Drosophila melanogaster: one gene and its partner. The protein of the gene in region 2 binds, or shares a complex with, the protein of the main gene of each other region. Each region holds a gene or a part of one and is shown on either strand. Other genes may lie near its edges. The genes, in order: Diap1 and Drice. A codon is read from its position in the direction of its gene.

Evidence for each region.
Region 1: the proteins of Drice (region 2) and Diap1 are in contact, whole or in part, in a crystal structure (PDB 3SIP), measured with the Drosophila melanogaster proteins. Residues at the interface, in NP_524551.2 of Drosophila melanogaster: Tyr256 (codon at 1,645), Ser257 (codon at 1,642), Trp258 (codon at 1,639), Arg259 (codon at 1,636), Asn260 (codon at 1,633), Thr261 (codon at 1,630), Thr262 (codon at 1,627), Arg263 (codon at 1,624), Trp266 (codon at 1,615), Asp298 (codon at 1,519), Phe299 (codon at 1,516), Glu300 (codon at 1,513), Ser301 (codon at 1,510), Cys302 (codon at 1,507), Thr303 (codon at 1,504), Met309 (codon at 1,486), His310 (codon at 1,483); in NP_001261916.1 of Drosophila melanogaster: Gln101, Pro105, Asn106, Arg111, Arg113, Ile132, Ser133, Tyr134, Asp135, Ile136, Cys137.

The regions. Positions count from the first base shown.
Region 1 is NT_037436.4:16,048,028-16,053,031, forward strand, and holds the start of Diap1 (Death-associated inhibitor of apoptosis 1), read right to left. Parts: upstream 3,008-5,004; 5' UTR 2,431-3,007; intron 2,277-2,430; exon of another isoform or gene 1,557-2,276; intron 1,483-1,556; exon of another isoform or gene 1,208-1,482; intron 1-1,207. UniProt on the Drosophila melanogaster protein: Anti-apoptotic protein which functions as a caspase regulator, using its E3 ubiquitin-protein ligase activity to smother caspase activity. Binds, ubiquitinates and inactivates initiator caspase Dronc, and effector caspases Drice and Dcp-1.
Region 2 is NT_033777.3:29,797,718-29,802,307, reverse strand, and holds Drice (death related ICE-like caspase), read right to left. Parts: upstream 2,651-4,590; 5' UTR 2,411-2,650; coding exon 1,391-2,410; 3' UTR 724-1,390; downstream 1-723. Other genes in the region: Etfb (electron transfer flavoprotein beta subunit), read left to right, coding at 1-359; Rnb (R and B), read left to right, coding at 3,039-3,200, 3,307-3,399, 3,477-4,070, 4,128-4,466, 4,532-4,590.

The DNA of each region.
Region 1 (5,004 bases), on a different chromosome or scaffold from region 2:
ATATTATGAAATTTACAAACATATTTCTTGAATTGACGTTTTTGCCTCGAACAAAGTATTTGCAATGAACTATCAATAAGTAAAATATTTTTAAACGAAGTCCCAAGCTTTTCTGATTAAGCCCCTTTGAGTTATGAATATATATTTGGCAGGGGAAATGCCAACACGTTCTGATACTGTATAAACAAAGATTGCCAAGTTTGAATCATTTATGGAAAACAGCCCGGCTACAGTGCGCGACATGTGTATATGGCGTCCGCAAGCAAACGGGTTGAACTTTTCAAATTTTATAAATACACGCTGCTAAATTTACCACGAAAATGTCGCGACGCATTTGAGAAATTTGCCTATAAATGCGAAGTCTAGACGACTTTGACATGTTGCAAGTCGACACTGTTTGCAGGCGGTCTTCTGCTGTAAATTAAGCGAAAATGTGGCGTCTATACAAGCATTCTATTTGCGGATGCTGCCAGAGGCACTTCGGTTTTCATTTCATATTCAGCATCAAAAGATCACTCCGCTGACCACGCAGAGTTTGGGTCTCGAGTCGCCGGACAAGTTTTAGTTGAAAAATCCGCGGGCTTGGAGCTAAACGGCCTTGCAAGGCCTTTTAAAGTTGTTGCAACCGCCCTGTTCTTGTTGGTGCTGCTTTTAATGCACAGTTAAAATAGCCTACAGCGTTTTAACTTAATGTGTTGACAGCTGTTTAAGCTATTTCAAACAACTTGAGTCACTTTGTTGCTTTAATAATGAAACCATGCCAGCATTAACAAGTATGACTCAATAGGGATATACCTTAATTTTATCTATATATGCATGTATAATATTCATTTAAGATAAATATTAAGGAGCGTGTCAAAAGATTGCTGCAACTTTGTAATTCCTAAGTTCCTCATATTACATTTCAAAAGCTATACTCTACAGTTGATTCTGTTTATGTTATATTTTGTGGCTTTTTATTAACAGCCAACTGCAGCGGAGCTGAAAACCTGTTTGCCATTTTTGTATTCTCTTCATTCATTTGTGCGGCGATTGGCAAAAGGTGTCATAACAACGCGTTGGGCACGATTCGATTAGACTAGCCACTACCCATTGCTTATAACATGTGCTGCCTGTCGGTCCCTTTTCTAGCCACCATGTATTTACCTGCTCCATTCAGGGCCAAAAAAAAAGGAAGGAAAGAAAGCACCTGGATCGACAATTGTGGACGTGTGCCGGCAGCTGCAGCAACTAGGTAATAACCGATCAGAGGATCGCCGAAAGCGGAGCCAGCAACATCTGCTCCTGGGGCAAGGGTCCTCATCCTTATTGTGCACGCTTCCAGTGAAAGGATCGCGCGGCACATGACGACGCCAGCTGCCGTCGATCCTTTGTCAGGATATTTTCGGTGTGTGGATGTGTGGAACAATCCAATAATGAGCCTACCGAACTGAGGTGTCCCGCGGATCTTTTGCTGTCAAATGATGGAGCCTCAAAAAGGATGTATGTATATTGTATATTTAAGTTTATGGTGTAGTGGATAAATACTCAAAAATAATTTTATTCATCATTTTCAGGGGAACACCAAGTGAACTCATCAGTGAACTACTATTTGAAGTAAGGAATTTGAGAGGTTATGACATTACTCAAGTGACCTAATTTCCTGTGAAACCATCTAGTCACCGTTACTAGGTATAGATTAGACTTGCCAGTTGACAGTTGTTTTAAACAAATATCTCACGAATGAATGACGCAAAACAGAATGCAGCGAGGATATATGAATTTCGTTCTAGTAAAATAAGTGAGGTAAGCAACTGATGCTATAGGCAAAACCCCATCAATCATAGGAACCTACGCAGCGCTGTAAATGGAAATGACATTGAGCGGTAATTAGAAATTGGAAAATTCTAGCTAGTAAACGCGTTCCACGAATGGGTGGGTTTTGCAGCATGGGGGTGGTGTTGATTTCATCATGAATGAAATGCGATGCGAATGAGCTCAGCATCGGCGGAGATAAAAGGTACAATCTTAGTTAATATCCAGGCAGAAACATGTGCGACAGACAGATTTCATTCCAACCCATCCCTCAAAATGACAAGCTAGCACAAGAGCGAATAAGATAAGACGGGATCCTGACATATGCCTAAGTATGTATGTACATGTGTATCTCGGCCTCCAGATTGTTTTAGAAATCACTAGAAAACGCCAGAGAGCGGAGAGCGAGATAGGGAGAAAGGGGGAGAGAGAGAGAGTGAGAGAGGGAGGGATAATGGTCGTGTCCCTGTTTATGTGGGGGTAAGGACATGAATGAAAAAAGGCGTGTTGGAGAGAGAAAGGTAGACAGGCGGCGCCTATTTGTATGCAGCATAATTCAAGTATAGTAAAGTAAACCCATTTTGTTTTTTCTATAAACCGCGGGAAGATTGAACACACATATTTATATTTACTTACCAGAGACATTTTAAACAGTGATAACGTATCAGTTTATCATTGGTTTTTTTAATGCCTTTTTTCGGCCACCAAATCGTTAATTGTTTTCGTTCACCTCTTATCGCACCACGATAAGATTATAAAATCACTTAAAATAAGTTTTGCTGTATAAAATGTTTACACAACTGTGCTCACGTCGACTGGTGGGTTTGAATGCCGTGCAACGACTACGCCAAAGCTATGTGCCTATATAGCTCACTTTCCTATAGGTATTTGTTTTGTCGGTTCTGCGTTCTCGTTTTGTTTTGTTTTGCTTGGCTTTCTAGTGAGCGAGAGGGTGCTGGCGGGGGAAAGAGAGAGAACTAGCGGGGCGGAACGGTCGAAATAGTTTTTTGCCGCCCAAGCGATGCGCAATTATTTTTGGGGGTGGGATGTCCGCACTTTCGTTGGCTATTCCAGCTGTGCGTCTCTAAACTGGAATGTTTTTTTTAAAACTTTTTTAAGTTTAATTAATAACTATTTTGCAAGCTATTTATATTTCTGAATATATTAAAATTTCAAAAACAAACAACTGTCAGCACACGAAGTCGTAGTTTTAAATAAATGCTAAATGGGGTCACACTGTTCAAGGTGCTTGGCTCGCTGATGTATCGATACGCGCTAAAAAGATATCGATAAGATGCATCAGTGGGATCAAGTCTACGCTAGGCCGTCAGCAGCGTTTTCAACCAACATTTATCGAATAAAACGGTTTGGAAATCGAAACGGTAGTTCAGGTATAACACATATACAAAATTGAGCCACTTATAGAACAAGGGTCTGTTACCCGGTCCAGTAACACCGCGAAAACTGAGCTTATTTCGATTCATCAGAATTAGAGCCCCTAACATTTTGTCTTGATTTGACAAAAAAATTAGTGGAACAAACAGAAGAACCTTCGGCATACCGAGAACTCCCAGTAAAAACAAAATACTTTGATCAGTTTGGAAATTTATTTTAACATCAATTGTTTGTTGTTTCGGTTTAATAAACTTTCGAGAATTCTTAGTATCAAACCAGGAATAAATACAAACAATTGAGGGAAGCCACAATTAGAGAAGTTGACCAAAAACAGCATTTTTTGAGTTTGAAAGTAAATTGATTCTGTTGTATCCTCTTTTTCCTTTTTGTGTTTTATATAGATAAAATTAGAAACGGTATTAATATATTTAAAAAGTTGTTTGAAAATTGCATTGTATGTGTTTTTGAGGCACATCAAATATATCGATAGATATGGCCGCATCTATTTTTGAACTAAATGTAAAGAATTGGATGCAAAAAGAACGCATTTCTCCCGAATGGAGTAATAAGACGAACAATTACGAATACCCTAAAATAATATTGATAGTTTAATTAACATCGTTAAAAATATCGGTCCATAACAGCACTGCTAAGTGTTAACATAACTAAGACGCCATCTACAATTTTGTGAGCGGCGTTAGTGTGACCAGGCGAAAAGAGTGCTAAATATACCGCGCATTGCCCTCCGATTCACATCGTCAAAAAATTTTGGTCTGTGAACTTCGTGCGGATGAAATTCGATTTGAACGCCACCGAAAATATGCAAAATAAAGTGAAATACCAGTGCCTCGCGGACGAGGAGCGCTTCAGCGGAGAGTCCTGCAGCCATTAAAGCCCAGAGAGCACTGAAAGTTCTGGGAATTTCGCGGGAAAGGTGCGTTTTTCGCTTGGTCTTTCGGTGTGTGTGAAAAGTTTCTACTGCAATCCATTTTTCTCTACGTGCGTGTGCGGCATACGTGTGTATGTGTTGCGTCTGTGTGCGAGGCGAGTGAATGTGTGTGTGAGTGTGGAGTGGAATGTAAAATGTGGGGCGATGTAAAAATGCCTTTACATAAGTGCACTCGCATTTGCAAGGATTTTGTGCAATACCGCCATCCTGCCAAATTACATAAAATCATCGCATTTCAGTGCGTGAAAAAATACGCGGTTTCCATTTTTGTTCTATTTACTCGCGACGTCAGCGTCGCGGCTGTTGAATTTATGTCAAATTGGTAACACACACACATGCAGGCTCAGCCATTCGCGCTCTCCGTATGCAAGCCCTAACTGCATGAGTGTGTGTGAGCGGCAGAGAGAGAGAGAGAGCGCGAAAGGGAGAATGATAAACAAAGTGTAAAAAAAACAAGCGGCTGCTAAAATGCCCGCAAGTGTTTTTAATTGATATGAAAATGTGTTTGCTTAACACTATGTAGCCCAGCAGCTGGTGGCTCTAAATAAAGCATTTGCAAAATATTAATTTCTCCTATCGTATTTCTTAGTTTTTGCCCCATCCTCTTGTGTAATTTCCATTGAATGCAACAACAAAGGTGCGCGTTAAACAACAACAAATAGCATTGTTTTGCGGGAGAGCGAGTGTGAGAGAGAGAGAGCGTTCCTGATTGCGACATTGTGTGAGTGAGCGGAGAAGAAAACGCCAAGAAGTTGGCTGATAAAGCAAACGCACACGCACGCACGCACGCGCACACACACGCAAAGAAAATAGAAAAATCGTAAAATAATAATAATCAGCAAGCAGGAAAAGAAGAAGCAGCAGCA
Region 2 (4,590 bases):
TGACCGCCGCCGTGCTCGACTGGCCGCAGGGCACCTTCTGCAACAAGATCGAGAAGACAGACGCCGGTCTGACCATCACGCGTGAAATTGATGGTGGCCTGGAGACAATCAAGACCAAGACCCCGGCTGTGCTGAGCGCCGATCTCCGGCTGAACACCCCTCGCTACGCCACGTTGCCGAACATCATGAAGGCCAAGAAGAAGCCGCTGAAGAAGGTTACGGCCAAGGATCTCGGCGTGGACACCTCGCCCCGCATCGAGGTCATCTCCGTGGAGGATCCTCCTGTGCGCCAGGCCGGCGCCACCGTCGCCGACGTGGATGCCCTGGTGGCCAAGCTAAAGGAGGGCGGCCACATCTAGATGTTCCTCAACTAGAAAATTGTGAGCGCATATTCTACGTTTTTAATTAGTCGAAAGTTATCAGAAACGTGCATTTATCTAGCCGGAGAGTCGGATTTGCTGACAGGCTTTAAATTTCTCTGAATTCAACCCATACCCGTGTGCTTTAAGTGAACTATAAATTGGAATTTATTCTCGTTGTGTCCAGCTCTAAGAATAAAGTGATTGTAAGCTCTGAAATCGTACGATCAGGGTCAGCCAATGGCTGGACTCGTCTATTTTTCCGTCTCCGCGTGCTACCTTTTCGGGAAATGCCGCTCAACTTGGCGCCCAAAAGAGGCGACAGGGTCAACAGCAAACAGCCAATGGTCATTGATTTCTCATTGTTTTCAATCGGATTTATTAGCGGTTAACTTGAAAGGAGAACATTTGCTAATGTGCATTATATAAGAGTACAAATGGCATAGAAATAGTATATATTGTTCATAAAACACTCGACTACAGGCTAAAATCGTTTGTTTTCGTTTTGGACGACCATGACACACAGGCTTATACTATAAAGATATCTATGTGTATAAAATTGTAAAAAGGTCTTGTCTGTAAATGGTCTAAGGTAGATATAGATAAGGGTGGGCCGACATTCCTGATCGAGAATCAAAGAGGCGCAAGTTGTTCTATGATAAGGTTTAGTAGAGAATTTAAAATTTTGAGATCGTCTTTGTTCAGTTGGCAAGTTAAAATTGTCAAAAAATTTTGGCCGGAGTAAAAACCTCTTAGATTTCTAAGTTAAATCGATCTACTCTACCCACCCCAAAAAATATAAATACAGACGAGTAAATGCGACATTAATAAATGTCAATCGAAAGATACTTTGTGCCTAAATAAAATAAAACGGGCAGTGGCACCAATCTCGTCGAGCAATTGGGCAGGTTAAAAAAGTGTTGTATAAAAAATATGCTGCAAGGCCGATAGCCCATGAGGTTCTAACTTAATTGCGACTTGGTTTATCACACACCTCGCCGTACCCACCGTTTGATCCATACCATTAGCCATCAAACCCGTCCGGCTGGTGCCAACTGCTTGTCGCTGAAACGCAGAATGCGCGTCAGCATGGTGGTTATGCAGGGTATCTGCTTCTGCTGGTGCATCTCCGGAGTGTCCGGGGTGCAGGACTCAAAGTCCACGGCCACCCGCTGGCACACGAATGTGAGCAGGGTCAGGATGTCCAGCCGCTTGCCATTGGCCGCCAGTTCGGCGCACAGGCTCTGCATGAACCAGCTGCCGCGGGTGGTGTTGCGCCACGAATAGAATCCAGGAACCGTCGAGTAGGCGATCAGAAAGTCGGCGTGCACTGGAATCTTGTAGCTCATCGAGGAGTCGCCATCGGTTTCCGTCTGAGAACGCTGCATGGTCACTCCGCCATCCAATCTGTCGCCCTGGCAGGCCTGTATGAAGAACAACTTGGGTTTGCCGGCTAGCGAGGGGCAGTGATTGGCCGTGAAGAAGCTCCAGATGTTATCCAGCTTGTACTGTGTGTCCTTGGCGTAGATGTAGCCCATCTCGCCGTGCGACAGGATGGCGACCAGGATGCAATCACTATCGCTGTGATTCTGCGACGCTGCATACTCGATTGTCCTCAAAATGTCCTTGTAGCGGCAGTCCTTGTACACGGTCACTTCGAAGTCCAGCTGCTTGAGCACCCGAGTCAGATTCTCGCAGTCCACATTGGTTCCCGCGCGAGACTTCAAGGTGGGCACCTCGAAGTGCTCATGGTTGAAGATCAGTGCCATTCCGCGGTTCTTGTGGCGCATGTTGTACTCGGCTGCATGGCGGTCGGTGACCATTTTGGCTACATTCTTACGGTAGCTGGACGAGGGTGAGCTGTACCCGTTGGCCAGCTGCCCAATGGCTCCGCTGCCGTAAGGATGCGAGGATCCTGCGACCAGGCCGCTGCTACCCGCTCCTCCGGATCCCACGGAGCCCAGGGCATCTGTGTGATCGTTGGGCTGCTCCGGATTGCCCACCCTGATGCCCACCTGGTCGGCGGATTCTCCATTGTTAGTGGCGTCCATGGCTAAGTTCTCTCCTTGAGCCTGCGAAAACTGATGAGTCACAAGCACTGCGAAACAGGTTTTTCCAAATCTGTGAAAAGCTTGGATGCACGACTTGGGCAAATTAGCTTCGTTCTGGGGAAAGTCCGTGTTTACGCGCAACAAAGACAGCTAGTTATTAACTAATTACTTTAGTCGATTGCGTTTTTGTCTTTAATTCTGTAAGACCGTTGTTGGCAGTTGAAAAACACCAAATAGCGCCTGATTTGGTGATGACACTTCAGCCCTCGTGTCACGATTACGGTAAACAAAGAAAGTAAATAAATATAGGAAAAATTATTAAATGGGTTTTAAAAAATATTAAAATAATTTGAAATTAAAAGCTTGGAGGTAATTTTGTGGGAACTTGTATAATCTACATAAAAAACAGGCCTGCTTCCATTTATTATTGTAGAATCGAATTCGCATCCAAAGCTAAAACGTAAACATCAGTTTATAAATAAGGCAGACCGCTGCTGGATTTTCGAAAAATAACGTAAAATACCGTAAAATACGCTCTTATGCACGGTCACACTCTCAAAGAGGTTTGAGACGCACTGTAGAATTTGTTGAATTGTTTCAATTTGTTTAAAAATTAAGAAAATTACCAATGTTCTGGACACCAGAGCAAGTGGAGAGCATGCTGGAAGTGCTAAAGACCTCCACGGATCGAACAGTCATTTACAAATGCCTGGTGAAGCTGCGCACCGATCTGGTGAAGGATAAAAATGGCATTGTTTTATTTCGCACTGCTGGGGGCGTTCACATCATGGTGGGTTTGGGAGTCACAACGCTCATGGTGGTTTGACAGCCACTGCCGCTCACATAGGATCGTTATTCGAATCGATTTTTAAATCATTATTAATTGCGTCTTCCAGGTGCGACTGATCACCAAGCTGAATGAAAAGATAATGGAGGTGGTACTGAGCATACTGGGGAACTGCTGCACCGACGAACAGTCCTGCATTGAGGTGGGATTATCAGATTACATTTTTATCTTTATTTTGAACCACAACGGTTAAAAAAATTTAAAACTTTCCACTTTAAGGCTGTTGAATGCAAGGTGATTCACCCGCTGGTGACCATTCTGAAGACCATACCTAATCCCCTGATCCAGTGCCGCGCCTGCCGGATGCTTGGAAACATCGCCAAGAGCAAGAAGGCGTCCCAGTGTCTCACAGTGCACTATGCGGCCATTGCACCGGCCATCTGCCACATCATTGAGTCCACCAGTGCGGTGCAGACCCGCATCATGGCATTCCGCGTCTGCCGTTTCCTTCTGGCCAGCAGCCAGTTCCTGAAGTACTTCCTCATGGCCAATGGGTTCCAGCAGCTGATGCGAATTTTTCTGGCCGTGATGAAGAACGAAGAGGCATCCAAGGAGCCCGTTCCGGACATCGAGATGTCCACGCTGATTGGCCTGAAGAGGAACCAGCACCGTGAGAAGTATTTCGAGGAGGTAGCCCGGAATTTGGAGGGTGTTCGCAGTGACATCTTTGACCACCAGATGCTCAAGAATTCCACAAGGAACTGTGACTATGCGCTGCCCAAGGAAAATGAAGCGGCCGTTGAGCTGGCCCTCGAGATTCTGAAGTGTCTGGTCCTGATATCCGCGCAGCAAATTGGACTGAAAGTTTGGGAGGTGAGACTGTTTTCTAAGTTCTCCAAAACGTAGTACATAATAAACATTTCTTGTTAGTCCATTTCCTGGAATACCTCGCTCGCCTCCATTGTGTGCTTCGTAAAGGAGGACGGCGACCAACGGGCCTCTGCCCTTAAAATCCTCTCTAACTTCTGCAAGGATCCCTTCGCCTTCTACATGCTGAGCACTGCGGATGCCATTGTGGCTGCCTGCGAGATGCTCATGGCTGTGAACATGGCAAAGCCACTTAGCGAAAGCGAGAGCCGGCACTGCATCAACATAATCTTGACGCTATCCACCGATGCCTGCAGCCGCTCGAAGATCCGGAGATGTGGGGCACTGCGCAAGCTGGTGGCCATGATCCGGGACTCCAACTCGCAGAGCGAGCGATCATCGGTGAGATGGAAACCAAATCCCTCTTGACATCTGCTATATATAATGGCTTTCTTCATACCCAACAGCTATTTCACATACTTTACAACTTCCAATATGATAACTTAAGCATGGAACTCATGCTGTA